Linked DNA regions of Struthio camelus. The protein of the gene in region 2 purifies or fractionates together with the protein of the main gene of each other region. This does not show direct contact. Links are inferred from orthologs where the notes say so. Each region holds a gene or a part of one and is shown on either strand. Other genes may lie near its edges.

Region 1 (7,878 bases), on a different chromosome or scaffold from region 2:
CACAGCTATGCAGGACAGAGCCTGTATGGCTCTGTTATGTAGCATAGGCACTTGTATGGCCCAGCTGCATAGGATAGGGACTGCATGGCACAGCCACATAGGACAGGGCCCATATGGCAAAGCTACGTAGGACAGGGTCAGTAGGCACAGCTATGTAGGATGGGGCACGACTACATAGGGACTACAGGGACTGCATGGCCCAGCTACCTAGGACAGTGACCGCACAGCGCAGCTACATAGGACAGGGACCACACGGCACAGCTACGTAGGACAAGGACCATATGGCCCCACTATGTAGGACAGGGACTGCATGGCCCAGCTACGTAGGACAGAGACCATATGGCACAGCTACATAGCACAGGGACCACACGGCACAGCTACATAGGACAAGGACCATATGGCCCCACTATGTAGGACAGGGACTGCATGGCCCAGCTACGTAGGACAGAGACCATATGGCACAGCTACATAGCACAGGGACCACACGGCACAGCTACATAGGACAAGGACCGTATGGCCCAGCTATGTAGGACAAGGACTGTATGGCCCAGCTACGTAGGACAGGGACCATACGGAACAGCTACATAGGACAAGGACCGTACGGCCCAGCTACATAGGACAGGGACCATACGGAACAGCTACATAGGACAAGGACCGTACGGCCCAGCTACATAGGACAGGGACCATACGGAACAGCTACATAGGACAAGGACCGTACGGCCCAGCTACATAGGACAGGGACCATACGGAACAGCTACATAGGACAAGGACCGTACGGCCCAGCTACATAGGACAGGGACTGTATGGCCCAGCTATGTAGGACAGGGACCACACGGCACAGCTACGTAGGACAAGGACCATATGGCCCAGCTATGTACGACAGGGACCATATGGCACAGCTACGTAGGACAAGGATCGTATGGCCCAGCTACGTAGGACAGGGACCATATGGCACAGCTACATAGGACAAGGACCGTATGGCCCAGCTACATAGGACAGTGACCATGAGCACAGCTACATAGGACAGGGACCACACGGCACAGCTACGTAGGACAGGGACCGTATGGCCCAGCTACGTAGGACAAGGACTGTATGGCCCTGCTACGTAGGACAGGGACCACACAGCACAGCTACATAGGACAGGGACCACATGGCCCAGCTACATAGGACAGGGACTGCATGGCCCAGCTACGTAGGACAGGGACTGCATGGCCCAGCTACGTAGGACAGGGACTGCATGGCCCAGCTACATAGGACAAGGACTGTATGGCCCAGCTACATAGGACAAGGACCACACAGCCCAGCTACGTAGGACAGGAACTGCATGGCCCAGCTACGTAGGACAAGGATCATATGGCACAGATACATAGGACAGGGACCGTATGGCCCAGCTATGTAGGACAGGGACCACACAGCACAGCTACATAGGACAGGGACCACACGGCACAGCTACGTAGGACAAGGACTGTATGGCCCAGCTATGTAGGACAGGGACTACACGGCACAGATACGTAGGACAAGGACCGTATGGCCCAGCTATGTACGACAAGGACCGTATGGCCCAGCTATGTAGGACAGGGACCACACGGCACAGCTACGTAGGACAAGGACTGTATGGCCCTGCTAGGTAGGACAGGGACCATATGGCACAGCCACGTAGGACAAGGACTTTACAGCAGAACTACATAGGATGGGGTTGCATGGCACAGCTACGTATGGTGGGGCCCGTGCGGCACAGCTACGTGGGACAGGGGCCGTATGGCCCTGCTATGGGCCGACAATTGGCCCTTCCTGGGGCTTGCAGCCGGCAGGGACAGCGGGCTGAGCAGGGCAGCGGGGATGTCACAGCCGGGGCCCGACCCCAGCCCGGCGCCCGGCCCCCCGAGGGAGCTCGCCGTGCCGGGGACGCTGCTCCCGCCGGCCCCGGCTGCTGCTCCCTTCCCACCGCCGGCCCCGCACTCCCTGCCCGCCGGCGGGGGCACTGCCACCCCGTCCCCCGCCCCGCGCCGCCACCGGGGTCGTGGGACCGGGGCGCACCGCGGGGGGCTTTGGCTCTGCCCCAGCCGCTTGCTAAGAGGGCGGAAAAGCCCCCAGCCCTACGGCCGCCTGCAACCACGGGGGTTTCCAGATCACTCCTCCTCCCTCGGCTCCCGCTTTCGGCGCCCGCCTTGCGGTGCCGGGCAGGTCACGAAGGCGCCCCGGTGCCTCCGCGCTCGGCGAGGCGGCTGCGGCGGCGGCGGCACCTCGACGCCCGCCGACGCAGCCCGCGCCTGGGCGCCGTCTCCCCTCCCGGGTCTCCCGGGGCCGGCAGCTCCCCCGCGGCAGGGCCAGCACGAATTTGCAGCCGGAGCGGGGTTTATTTTTCCTAGCGTGACGAAACGCAGCTGGGACGTGGCCCGAGCGTCGCCGTTCGCCGGCGAGGCGGAGCGGCGAGGGCGGCTTCCCGGGTTGCCATTCCCCGTTTCGCCGCGGCCCTGCGGTGGGGACAGGGGGCCGGGGGGGCCGGGGGGCACCGCGCTGGCCGCTTTCTGCCTGCCTCCCTCCTATTCCCGGCGTGGTACAGCGCCGTTTCCGCCGCGCGACTCCGGCTCTCGGCGGCACAGATTTCCCGAGCAGTCCCCGAAACGCCGGGACCTCGCGGAGGCCCTGCTCGCCCGCGACCTCGCACCCACCGCGGGGTGGGGTGGGGTGGGGTGGGGTGGGGGGGTATGGGCCGAATCGGCCCGGTGGCGGCGGGGGGGGTGCGAGGGGGCATGGGGGGGTTGGCCGGGAGCGCCCCCAGCCAAGCCACCCCGGCGGCAGCACCCCAGGGAAGCGGGGTGGGGGGTTCCCGAGGACACACTGGGGCAGGCGACGGCGGGCGGCAGCACCCCGGCCCGGCCCGCGGCAGCACTCACCGGCGCGGCCGGGCGCGCAGCGCAGCAGCAGCAGCAGCAGCAGCGGCGGCAGCAGCGGCAGCAGCGGCGGCGGCGGCAGCGGCGGCGGCGGCGGCAGCGGGGCGACGCGGCGCCTCGGGGCGCCCATGCTGCCTGCCCGGGCGCTGCGCTGCCCTTAGCCCGTGTCCGGAGGGGCCGAGGGCTGGCCGGCGGGGCTCGGCGGCGGGCCGGGGAGGCGCAGGCGGAGGCAGCCGGGCAGCTTTCGCCGCTCCAGCCTCGACGGCGCCCGGTGGCGGCGGTGGCGGGCCGGGGCCGGCGGTGGGGCCGGGCCGCGCCGGGGAAGCCGCGGCAGCGCCCGAGTGTGCGAGCCCGGCGCCGCGCTCGGGCTGATGACCTGCGGCGGCAGGAAATCAACTCCCTTTAGAGGAGGGTCCGCCGAGCCGAGCGCCTGCCAAGAGCGGGGAGGAAATGCCGCTTCGCAGCGGCCTGGAGCCTTGCCGGGAGGTCGGGGAGGGCCGGCGGGCAGCCGAGGGCTGCGCTGCCCCCGGGGGTGCTGCCCCGCCGGATGCGCTGGCTGTCTCCTATGGATTTTGGGGTGGGAGGGGGTGTGTTGCCCGATGGGACCCCCCTCCCCCCAACCCCAGCCGGGGGGGGGCCCAAGCGCCGTGCCTCAGTTTCCCCATACTTGCGGGTGCTGGTGCGGGGCAGCGCTGAGCGGCTGCGAGGACCCCGGGGCACCCGGCGAGACCCCCCCGGGGACCTCCGAGCGCGGCCGGCTCTGCAGACGGGCAGGGGCACCCACCTGCCTGGCAGGATGCTCCCCCCCCCCCCCCCCAAAATGCAGCCCCACATGCAGCTCAGGGCCGGCCTGGGGGCTCGGGCAGGATGGGGACTGTCACCACCCCACTCCCCATGCGCCTGGCGAGGAGGGGGACGGTGCTGGGCAGCCAGGCTTGAGCCCCTCCGGAGCTGCCCCCCGACGAGGGACCCGGTGCAGCCCCTGCTTCGCTCCATCCCCAGCCGCCCCTCTGGGAGATGGACGGCAAGGCCTGTCCCGGCCTGGCGGGATGTCCCCTGGGACGTGTCCCCGACGGTGAGGTGAGCAGGCAGATGTCTCCCGTGACAGAGCACTGCCATCTCCTGGGGACCGCGGGGACGGGTGCTCAGCCGGGGCCGGTGACCAGCCGAAGGCTGCTGGGGCCGGGGTGCCTGCTGCCCCCTCTCCCGGCCCCAGCGCCCGGCAGCTCCATCCCCGCTCGCTCACTTGGGAAACTGAGGCACGCTCGCGCCTGGCCCGAGGCCACAAAAACGGGATGGAGGCGCAAGGGAGAGGGGTCGCTCCCCATGGCCCAGCCTGCGGTGGGCCCCCCCTCAAACCCCCTTGCTCGTGGTGGCCCTGTGGCCGTCCCCGTTTCGAGCCAGGCTCCTTCGCCCCCCCGGCCGCTGTACGAGCCTGACGGGGCTCGTTTTTAACTTTATGACTTTTATTTTTTTTTGCCCCCCCACTCGTTTCCTTCCTCGACACCGTCTCAGCAGCTTCGGCTGCCTCCAAACAGCCTCCTTTCTCCTGACCTTCGCTTTGCTCGTCGCCTGATTTACAGCAGCCCGAAAGCGAGCGGTGCCAGGGGCAGGCCGAGGTCACGGCTCTGCCGCCTCCTGCCCTCGCCGTAACCTGGCAGGCAGCAGCCCCGCGCCGCGTCCGGGAAAACCGCCTGCCGGCAGAGCATCCGGGCAAACCCCCTGGCCCCGGAGCCCTGCTGCAGCCGCGCCACCGGCATTGCACCCTGATGCGGCCGACAGCCCGCGACCGAAACGCCCCCTCCGTCTCCCACGTCGGCCCCCCCCGAACTCTCTCCGTGGGTCAGGGCACCCAGAGCACAGCCCCGGTTCCCCTAAAAAGCTCCCGACAGCACGATGCAAGGGAGTGTCGAGGCCGAGGCGCGGGCTGGAGCCAGCAGTGTTGAAAGTGGTGGAAATCCCCGTCCCCGTCCCCGGGAGCAGCGGGGTGGAGGGGGGGCTGGCACACGCTGGGGCACCCGGGACGCCCGGCCACAGCCCGTGGCATTGGCCTGAACCTGGCTCCCTCAGCCCCGGCAGCGGGACGGGTCTCGGCGAGGGGGTTTGGCTGCAAGGAGGCGGCCGCGGGCCCCCCGCAGCCCCGGGGCTCGGCCGATGCAGCCGGGATGCTCCCCTCCCTTCCTCCGAGCGCAGCATCCCGCTCCCCCCGGCCGCGATGCCACCGGGCGGGATAAACAGCCCGTTTCCTGCCCTTAATCAGCCTCAGAAAGGGGTGTGCGGAGGGAAGGGGGGGGGATAAAAAAATTTCTGGAAAGAAAAACTCATTTCCTGCGGCAGAAGAAAAAAGATAAAGTCTGGGCTCATTAAAGTGAACTTTACTGGGGAGAGACGGGAAAGAGCCAAACACAATGTCCTTGAAATTTCCTCCGCGCGGCTCTGTCCACGAAAACAGGATAAAGCCGCTTCCGCTGTCTCTGCCGCGGAGCCGGAGTGCGTGCGCGTGTGGGGCGGCGGGCCGGGCCGGCGCGGCGAGCCTGGCCCCGGGGCTCGCCTACAGGGCGTCCAGGTGGGAGCAGACCTGCTGGAAAACCTCCTCCACGGTGCCCTCGGCGTTGAGCTGCGCGAGCGGGACAGCAGTGTCAGGCTCGGGGACGCCTCGGCGCCCGGCCCCCCGGGAGCCTCCCACGGAGGAGGTGGCTCTTTTGGGGACACATTTCAGCTTAGGGACAGCTAGGGCATAGTTAAGGCAACGGGGCGGCACGGACATCTCCCGAAGGATGTCTTGGCGCCGGGATGCTGCTGGCCCTGGTCAAGGGGCACATGGCAGTGGGGGACCACCTAAAGGAGGTGGGGAGCCCAGCTGTGGGGTGACGAGGGGTCCCGTCCCCGCCACGGCACCCCGGGCCCCGCTCACCTGGCGGACGATGCCCCTGCTCTTGTAGAAGGCGATGACGGGTTCCGTGGCCTTGTAGTACGTCTCCAGGCGCTTCTTGATGGTCTCCTCATTGTCATCCACCCGGCCGCTGGTCTCGCCCCGCTTCAGCAACCGCTTGACCATCGTCTCCTTCCCCGCGTCCACGTAGAGCAGCAGCGTCGGGGCGGCGATCTACGGGCGGGGAGGACGCAGCTGTCACCAGGGGAGGCGGCTGGGATGTGGGCATGGATGTCCCCAGCCTGTCCTGCATCTCCCTCCGCGCGGGTCTGCGGTGGTGTCTCCGCAAGCAGGGCCCGTCCCCAGCCCCTCACCTTCTTCTCGAACTCCTGTCCTTGCTTCACCTCGCGGGGGTAGCCGTCGATCAGGAAGCCCTTGGACACATCCGCTTTGGCCACCATGGCGTCCCGCAGCATGTCCAGCACCGTCTCCTGGGAGCCGGGGAGGAGGGGACAAGAGGTGAGGGGGTGATGTATCCGCTCCCCATCACCCGGCACCCCCTGATCCCGGCTGCTAGCCCAGGGCTCTGGGGTGGCGGGGGACCAAGGCCTCCCCTGGACACATGCTGACCATCACCGGCATCACCACGGTCCCCCCTGACCAGCACTCCCACCACCAGTGCCCGCCCCTGCGGTTCGGGGTGTCCCGGCGGGCTCCTCCGGCGCGCAGGCTCACCAGGGGCACCAGCTCGCCTTTCTCCATGATGGCCTTCAGCTTCTTGCCCCGCTCGGAGCCGGAGCTGACCTCAGCGCGCAGCAGGTCTCCGGTGGAGAGGTGGGTGTATCCATACTTCTGCACGATCTTCTCGCACTGGGTCCCCTTCCCTGAGCCGGGGCCGCCTGCAAGTCACAGCAGGGCCCCGTTCACATCCCAGCCCAGGGGGAAAGAGCTGGGGGGGGGGCCCAAAAAGCACTGCAGACCCACAGGGAGCATCTGGCAGCCAGTGAGATGAGGTCCCCAAGCCCCACACTGGCACCCGGAGTGTCCCCACCCCATGGCGTCCCAGCCGCTGTCACCCCGAGGAGCCGAGCTGGGAGTGCTGCAGCTGCCCCGGAGGCAGCCGGTGGTTTCTACAGGTCCCAAATTTTCAAGCACGTCCTGCAAAGCCGGCTGCTCCCCTGGGCCCCGAAATTGCCCCGGCGAGGCGCGGGAGAATGGGGCTCTGCAGTCGGCCTCGCTCCCCGCAGCGGCCGACTTACTTACCCACCACGAAGATGATTTTGTGATGCTTGAGTTTTTCTGGGGGAAAAGAAAATAGAAAAAACCAGACTCAGCCAAGCAGAAGCCTGGACGGCGGCGAGTGAGCTGCTGAACCCCCCGGCAGGCGCCCCCCGGCATGGTGGGGCCGGCCCCAACCCGCCGTGGGAGAAAGCGCGGCGGGAAGCACCCGCGCGCCCCTCTCGTCCCCGTCACCTCGGCCAGCCTGAGCAGCCGAGCTGCCCAAGCACGAGCACGCGGCCCCCATGGCACCCGGCCTGCGGCCCCGGCCCCGGCGGCGCTCCCGGCGGCCGAGCCGAGGTGGAATCCCGCCGGCGCCGGGGCGCGCGGTGCCCTGGAGATGGTTGCCGGTGGCGGCTTCGTGCCAAGGGCTTTCCGAGGCCGCCCTGCCCGGGGCTGCGGCCCGCTCGGCTCGGCACGGCACGGCACGAGCTGGCACGCTGCCTCCAGCGCCTCCCTGATCCCTGAGTGTCCTAAAAATTGGCCTGCGGGCCTGGTGGCGCATACGTGGATGGGGACGGGATGGGGAGCACTAACAGCCCTGCCCCTGCTGCTGGAGCACCCCACTGGCACAGCATCCCACTGCCAGAGCAGCCCACCACCAGAGCAGCCCACTGCTGGAGTCCCCCACCGCTGGAGCACCACACCGCCAGAGCACCTCAATGCTGGAACACCCCGCCGCCAGAACACCCCACCGCCGGAACACCCCACTGCCGGAACATCCCACCGCCGGAACACCCCACCGCCAGAACACCCCACCGCCGGAACATCCCACCGCCGGAACACCCCACCGCCGGAACACCCCACCGCCGGAACATCCCACCGCCGGAACAC
Region 2 (7,320 bases):
TTTCCTTCTTGCAACTATCTGAAGCTCTTAATTCAATTTTATTTTGTTACTATAAAACCAACTGACAGTAATATGGCATTTAAAAAAAAAAAAAGAGGAGATAAAGTAGAGGCTGGCTGAATGAAGAAATTAAGTTCCAGATATTCAGAAATGAGGAATCATTACACAGATTATTCCAAAGCACAAATTTAAGTTTTTAATACTCCAAATATAAACTACAGATTCCAATTTCACTTGGACAAAGCAGCGTTCATTTCTTATGCAGGCGACTGCTAATTTGCACTGCCATTTATCAGTGTAGCAGTCACAATCATTCAAAAAACACAACTTGTCCCTTTAGTCCATGGAAATAACTTCAACTACTTGTGTCTAGAACAGGATATTTGAGCATCTTTTTCAAAGGAAATACTTGCTATTGGACCCGCTCATGAATTCCTGGCTTTCTCCAGAATTTTTGTGTAAACGTGCTGTTCTTGACCAGTATTTTGCTAGGAAGAATGTTAAGATGAAATTTTAGCCGAGGTTCTGTTAGCCCCCCTCACCAACAACAGCAGGTAGTCAGTACACACACCTGGGAAGCAAGCTCTCCTGAGGCTGTTATCCGTCCCGCCTCATCCTCTCCCAACTGCAGAGCTATTGATTATTCCAAAGAGAGTAGCTCTTCTTGGGCTTTGTTTGGTTTTCCCAAACAAAGTTTCTAGTTTTCATTCTGATGACTACTAAAAACCAACATCCAAACCTCACACTTGCTGCCCCCACAGAATTGTTGTTTTCTGACCAGTGCTACCTCGTTACACGCTTAGTCCTGCAGTAATTACAAAAATGGAATTTTGAATATGATCAATTATCTGACAACAGGTCAACCCAATTTTGGTTACTGTAGAGTGCAGATGAAGATCAGCATGAAATACGCTGAACTGGAAGGAAATCTCTATTTTTTTCCTCACTGGCTCTATGACAAGAAAGAAGACATCAAAAAATTTCTTAAGATAGGCCCATTAAAAAGTTTATCTGTAGTTTGAAACTGTCTATACTGGTTGAGCAAAAAAGCATAAGCAATAATAACAGAACAGCAGCTTTATAAAACTGGAGCTTTTCAGTTTAATTCCGTTAAAGCTTTGTGTAATAGGAATCTACAGTAATATTTTTTAGGCCAGGATCAAAATAAAAGCCATCACTAGCTGGGTATGGTTTATATTAATCATAAATATATACCAAAATCAACAAGAAGCTGCATGCCTCAAATTTAAAATAATAATAAGATATTGTGCCCTAGGACACTACAGACCCTTATTCTTAAACTGTTTAACTGTTTTTTCATGTGCCTTAAACTTACGTGAGTAACTTTACAGGTATGTAAGGCCTGTTGACTTTGACTGGGTTATTAACGAAGCATTAAGTTAGTCATGTACACAGCTATTTGCAGTGGCTATGCGAGAGCTATCCAGTTTATGTTGTTATTTTTCAGCAACAGTTTTGAGACCGTTATTGAATGGACCACAGGGGAGAACTGGAGCACCAAGCACAGCTTGGAAAAGCTCAGGTGCCTGTTCCTCTTACCTAAAGACTAAAACCAGACATTCAATATAACAAGGCACCTCAGAGATCTGCTTAATACCGCAAAACTGTTTCAGATACAGTTTTGCTGCGATAGGATGTTCTCTTTTTAACTTCGCCAATGGAGCTGCAACGCGATTTAGGGCCTAACCTCGCAGATAGAGATGTTAGTTCACACGCGTGGGTTAGCACTGGTAAGACTGGGACCAGAAGCTCCTCAGGGTAGGGGCCCTGTTTTCACAGGGGCACTTCAACCTCTCCGTGCATTCCAAATTACTCTGTGAAGAGTAATACGAGCCACAGCCTCAAAACATCTCTCTACAGATGTCTGGATAAAAACAGCCAGAATAAGGGACGTAAAGCATCAGTAAAAGTGAATTAAACAACATGAGCACTTTAAGACATCGAGCGCTACAAGAATGACTGCCGTTCCCAGTGCAACTGCTCACAAACCATGCCTTAATCCTGCTGCAGGCAATGCCGCAGAAACTCCCACAGAGTCAAATAACTTTTTGGTAAGTAACCGCTGATCGCCTCGGCAGCCAGCTCTGCGGCCGGGCGCGGGCCCACCGCCCCGAAGGACGGCACGCACAGGCTCGGGCCACGCAGCACCCACGGCGCTCTCTGCCCGGTGTGGGCGGGCAGGGCCGCCAGCAGCGGCGCCGGAGCCGTGCCCCGCGGCGGCGGGAGGTGCGGACCGGCCGCCCCCGCCGCCCCCAGGTGCGGAAGCTGCAGCAGCTGCAGGGCCCGGCAACCTCTCCGCCCGGCCCGGCCCGGCCCGGCCCGGCCCGGCACAGCAGGCAGCTCCCGGGCTGCCCTCTCCGGCTCCTCCGGCCACATGAGACCCTGTTGCATTTCCTGCCAAATTCTCTCTTTTTCTCCCTCGCTTCCCTCTGCCGACGGACCTCACTGTCTACTGTGAGTCCCCCCCCCCCCCACTCAAGTTCCCCAGCCCTTTTTCCCCCCGGTAACTCCCCAGCAGGGCAATAAATAAACACGCGTGTCCTCCCTACCCGCCCCCCCCCGCGTTTTGTTACCAGCTTCAAAACTTTCTTAGCAACCAAATCCTCCCCCTCCCTTGCCACCGCTCCCGCCTGCGGCCGAGCAACTGTCAAGTGAAAACGCTCCGCAGGCTGCACCGGGGGCCGGGGCAGCGGCGCGCACTTACCCCGAAGCAGAGCGGGGACCGAGCTGCCCATTAGGAGCCACACGGAGACGCGCAGCAGCAGCCGCCGCAGGCTCCTCGGCAGAGCGGCAGGCATCGCCGAGCCGCAGCCGCATAGAGAGCGAGGCCGAGGCGGGGCGCGGAGCGGCGCGGAGCGGCGGGCGCCCGGGCAGCGGGAGAGGCCGCCGGCGGGGCTGGCACGGCGGCGCGGGCTGCGCTGCTTTTGCTGCTCGGGACCGCGCGTGACTCACTAAAAACTTCACTTCGGCGCTGCAAGGGAAACAGGAAATCTTAAACTTCGCAAACAGCTGGGCAGGACTTTCTTTCGTACTCTTACAGGAGTTCCTTCTCCCCCCTTCCACGCTCACCCCCTCCTCTGCGCTCGCTCCTTTTCTTTCTTTCCTTTTTTTTTTTTTCCTTTTTTTTTTAAACATGAAACCTCACCCAGTTTGGTGTCAATCATCTGCCAGAGGCCAACCCCTCGCAGGTCTGGCTCTCCCACCCCGAGCGCGCCGGGCCAGCCCCGACGTGCTGCCGGGCGCCCGGAGCTGCCTCCCCCGGCGGGAGCGCGGCGCCCCCGGCGCGCCCCGCCGGGCCCCGAGGGGCGGCACCGGCAGCGCGGAGGCTGGGAAACGCCGGGAAACGGCGAGCTCCGCTGCTCCCGTGTCCCCACGAGCGGACGAGGGCCCAGTCGTGGCCTTGGAGCGTGGGGGCTTTGCAGCCGTAGCCCTGCCCTTGGCGGTGCTGCTGCGGCCTGTTTCGCGCTCTGCCGGACCGGCATCTGAAAGAGGAGACGTAACCCCCTGATGAACTAAAGCAGGGGGTAAGGCAGGTTGAAATCAGGGTAATAACAGGAAATGTTCACACTGACGAGCTGGGCACTCGGCTTGCAGATGCTGAAGCAGACTGTGACAACTCACCACCTGCCTCTTTTTTGCATTTTGCTCCCAAATGGGCTGGATGCACACCATTTGCTCCCAAGCCCTGCACGTGTGACACAGATGAAGTTCATCTCCCTTCCTCTCTAAAGCAGCCTCAGCTTTTGCCAGAGATTTCTTCAGAAAGGAAAAATTGCACAGAGCATTCAGGGAGTGGGACCATACCAGTGATGTCAGTTATGCATGACCCAGACAGAGGTGACTGAACCACTAGATCCTCAGCAGGTTTACACTGAATAAGGCCTGTGCCTTCTGCCTGTATAAGTCCAGCCACTGCATAGCCAGGAATTGCCTTGAGAGCCATTTCTGGTTCAGTCTTCCCTCCTCTCCGAGTTAAATGGCTGGGCATTGATTGAAAAGTAAACTGCTGCACATGGGGATAATTTGAGAATGCCTGCTCAAATTGTGGTGATTCACTTTTGTCTTGATTACAGCACGAATTAGAGGTACAGATTTGGGTATTTCAGAAACAAGGCTAAGCCCTCACGGGGAATATGCATAATCATACTCTGAATGTCCCACATCAACTCTGTATGAATTTGGAAGTGTTTACATAATGCTTTTAATTGGCCTGTAACAGGCATAAAAAATCTCATTGTGATTTTATGTAAATTTATTTTTAAAAACTCCCTAAATGCATGTTTTCACAGTGCAGCCCTAGTTTATTGTGCACATTCCCATAAACCTCTCCAAGAGCATTTTCCTTCCCTCCTTTTAAATGCACTCAAGATTCATTCAAACAAAGATGCCACCTTCCAGAGGAGGTAAGAAATGTCAGATTCACCTTTGAGTACAGACCTGGAGTGTTCTTACCAGTTCCTGAGCATCCACGCTATGCTAGAAATTCTGTTTTTAGTAATTTATTATGTGAAAGCATTTCTCAACCCCCATCAACATTTGTTGTAACAATGTAGCTGTCAAGAGCCGCTGTTTGCTTAGAAACTTGGCTGTGTATGCTGCTTGAGCTCTCCTGTTAGTTTTGCCTGACTAACTTCCAACATGTAAGGAAGCTAAAAAGCCATTAAATATAGATTTAACGTTAGTATTCAAACCTGTCAAAATTCAGGTATGATTCAGTGAGCTGGCCTCTGCCTCACTTTCCACTGCTGTGGCACCTGATCTCTCCCCCTGACGTGAGTGCCGTGGCTCTTCCTGCGCACTGCGACCTTCGGACCAGTAGAGGAGAGGGGCTTTGGGGACGCCTCAGTCCTGAGCGCTCAGGGCCCCAACCGTCTCACATCTCTGACTGCAGCCTGGCATCGCGGCTCTTCTCCATCACGTTCCGTGATACTGCTCGTTAGATAACCCAATAAGCAGGGAGTCTACCATATGTGGACTTCAGAAGTCTAATTTTTCCATGTAAACATTGCTTTTGTTTTCACAATATGTCATACTAGGAAGTATGACTAAGAATAACTTCATATTAGGACGTTTTCTGGGTGGATGGAGGAATATATCTTACCTGGATATCCTCAGTGGAGAAATAATTCAGTCACAGAAAGTCCACACGGAAGTGGAAGTAAACTTCAGTTTGGTTCATAGATTTGTTGTAGACAGGCTTATTAACAAAGCTCATGTCCTGCCTTTTTGAGTACTATAAGCTTCCATGTTAAGGCCCAAATTTAGTTTAATCAGGATTTCCTGGACAACCAAGAATATATAAAACAAGGCTAAGCTGGTCATATCTTTCCATTTCCTTATTCATAATTCCCAGTTCCCTCTTTGCAGACTGCAGTTTATTACTTCTAGATTGAAACTGTGAATAGTTAACCTCAGCCTAAGGTGAGAAAGAGCCAGCCTTGAAGAGCCGCAGATTGGAACTAAATAATTAACTCCAGCCTGACTGAGTAAGGAAGGGCCAGCTAATTTCAGTTTGCTACTTAGAAAAGCTAAATACTGAAATACTGAGTATTCTTTGTTTTCTTTCTGAGCCTCAAAAATGATCTAAAGAGATACCCAGAACACAAACAAGCTAATACCTCTCGCACCTCAGAGCCTTCTAGTGAAAGATAACACAAGTGCTTCTTGCTGCAGTTTTAGGTACCACTTTTTATAACAATTCATAAAAACTAGTGAAAGCAAATGGTTTCTCTCTTTCCTAACCCAACTATTTCTCAGCTTGCAATGTCATATTTCTGTCAAAATTCCATGATTCCATAATTCTACAGCATTATTCTCATATGAAGAACCCTTTCAAGCCTCCACAAAACTTGCGTTCTTATTACAACTGCAGTTTCACTGTATGTAACATCCACCTTTAGCTCAAAGTCATTCTACTCACAAGCCACTGGATTGCCCAGTAAAGCCATTACTTTGATTAGTTTATTAGGTCTGGTGTTTCTTAGTTTAAGAATCCCTCAACAAGCTGTTTCTGAGATCCACTGACTCAGAATTAGAGAAGGCCTAAACAGCTGCACCAGCACAGGATAGTGTTTATGCCTGTATGAAGCTGACATGTGTGGCTTGCGGTGAAAACATCTCACTTAACTGTAGCTCTCCAAAAGTTAGCCTCAGAGTGAGGTTCCAGGAGACACCTGAGACAACAGAAAGCCTAACAGCTTTCCTGCTATGAAAAGAAGCAATCGCATTTATTCAACTGCATAGTGAGTTAGTCCCAGATCAAGTTCAGGGACCAAAGGATAGAGGACAACAGCTGGATGAGCAGGATTGCCCTTTACAGGGGCAGCAAGCTATTCGGTCTGCTAAATTCCCTCCATCATCAACGGATGGAGAGGATTCTAGCTGTTTTAGAAACCTCTAGAGACCTGAGCTAACGATAGCATAATTGGCCCAGACACCTAGTTTTTGGGCAGCTGATCTTAGATGAGATGACTCCTAATGAAAATGTTCTTTGAACTGTACAAGTTGTATAACATAAGCTACAGGATGCTTTACTGACTGGCAAACATTGGGATTTCTGCCTGTGTTTTTTGTTTGGAATGAAATGAGGCAATGAGGAATATCGTATGCTTATACCGCTTTTACAGAACTATCAATTACACAACTGGCATAAGCAGTTTGACCAAAACCAAAACATTTATGACTATAAATAAACTTGGTGACAATTACCTTCAAAAGAAAATTGGTAAATCTTTTTGACAAAGTTGACACATCCCGTTTGGACATTTTTGGAATGAAACAGATCTTTTTTTGTTGAGATGCAGCCAATTAGTTTTGAATTTTTGTTGTTTCCTCATTTTACACATAAAAACAAACAAAAAAGAGCAACATACAACATCCTGATTTCACTGAAGTGAAGGAAGAGGTTTATTTTCAGGGAAGTCTTGATATTTCAGTTCAAATCAAAGACAAATTTTGAAACCCTGTATTCTTCTTAGACCAAAACTTCTGCTTTTTACAGTGCACCGTTCATGAAGCTGACATCTCTCCTCTAATTTTCAAATTCAGGATGCTTGGCACGGAGTATTGGCCTTTCAGCATTCTTAATAAAAAGCCTGCAATGTCTTGTGCACCATTTATTGCTGAAGAAGAACACATAGTCCTCTACAGACTCATGTTAAACTACTGTGCCTTGTATGGCTGCTTTCATCTTATTTCTCTCTTCATTTAGGTTATCAGGGAGCACAGAGTTACAGCTACTATTAAAAGCAGTTTCCTTCTGTTTCATAATCACTGGTTTGGACTTGTTACTAATAATTT

What was found.
Region 1: the proteins of TGFBR2 (region 2) and ENG purify together in Homo sapiens (affinity purification with western blotting; 3 studies listed by BioGRID). This does not show direct contact. The link is inferred for Struthio camelus from reciprocal best matches to the Homo sapiens genes TGFBR2 and ENG.

The regions. Positions count from the first base shown.
Region 1 is NC_090961.1:7,687,858-7,695,735, forward strand, and holds the start of ENG (endoglin), read right to left. Parts: upstream 3,025-7,878; coding exon 2,898-3,024; intron 1-2,897. Other genes in the region: AK1 (adenylate kinase isoenzyme 1), read right to left, coding at 5,446-5,511, 5,809-6,000, 6,141-6,257, 6,502-6,665, 7,030-7,065. UniProt on the Homo sapiens protein: Vascular endothelium glycoprotein that plays an important role in the regulation of angiogenesis. Required for normal structure and integrity of adult vasculature. Regulates the migration of vascular endothelial cells.
Region 2 is NC_090943.1:46,973,640-46,980,959, reverse strand, and holds the start of TGFBR2 (TGF-beta receptor type-2), read right to left. Parts: upstream 3,120-7,320; 5' UTR 3,091-3,119; intron 2,993-3,090; 5' UTR 2,820-2,992; coding exon 2,726-2,819; intron 1-2,725. UniProt on the Homo sapiens protein: Transmembrane serine/threonine kinase forming with the TGF-beta type I serine/threonine kinase receptor, TGFBR1, the non-promiscuous receptor for the TGF-beta cytokines TGFB1, TGFB2 and TGFB3.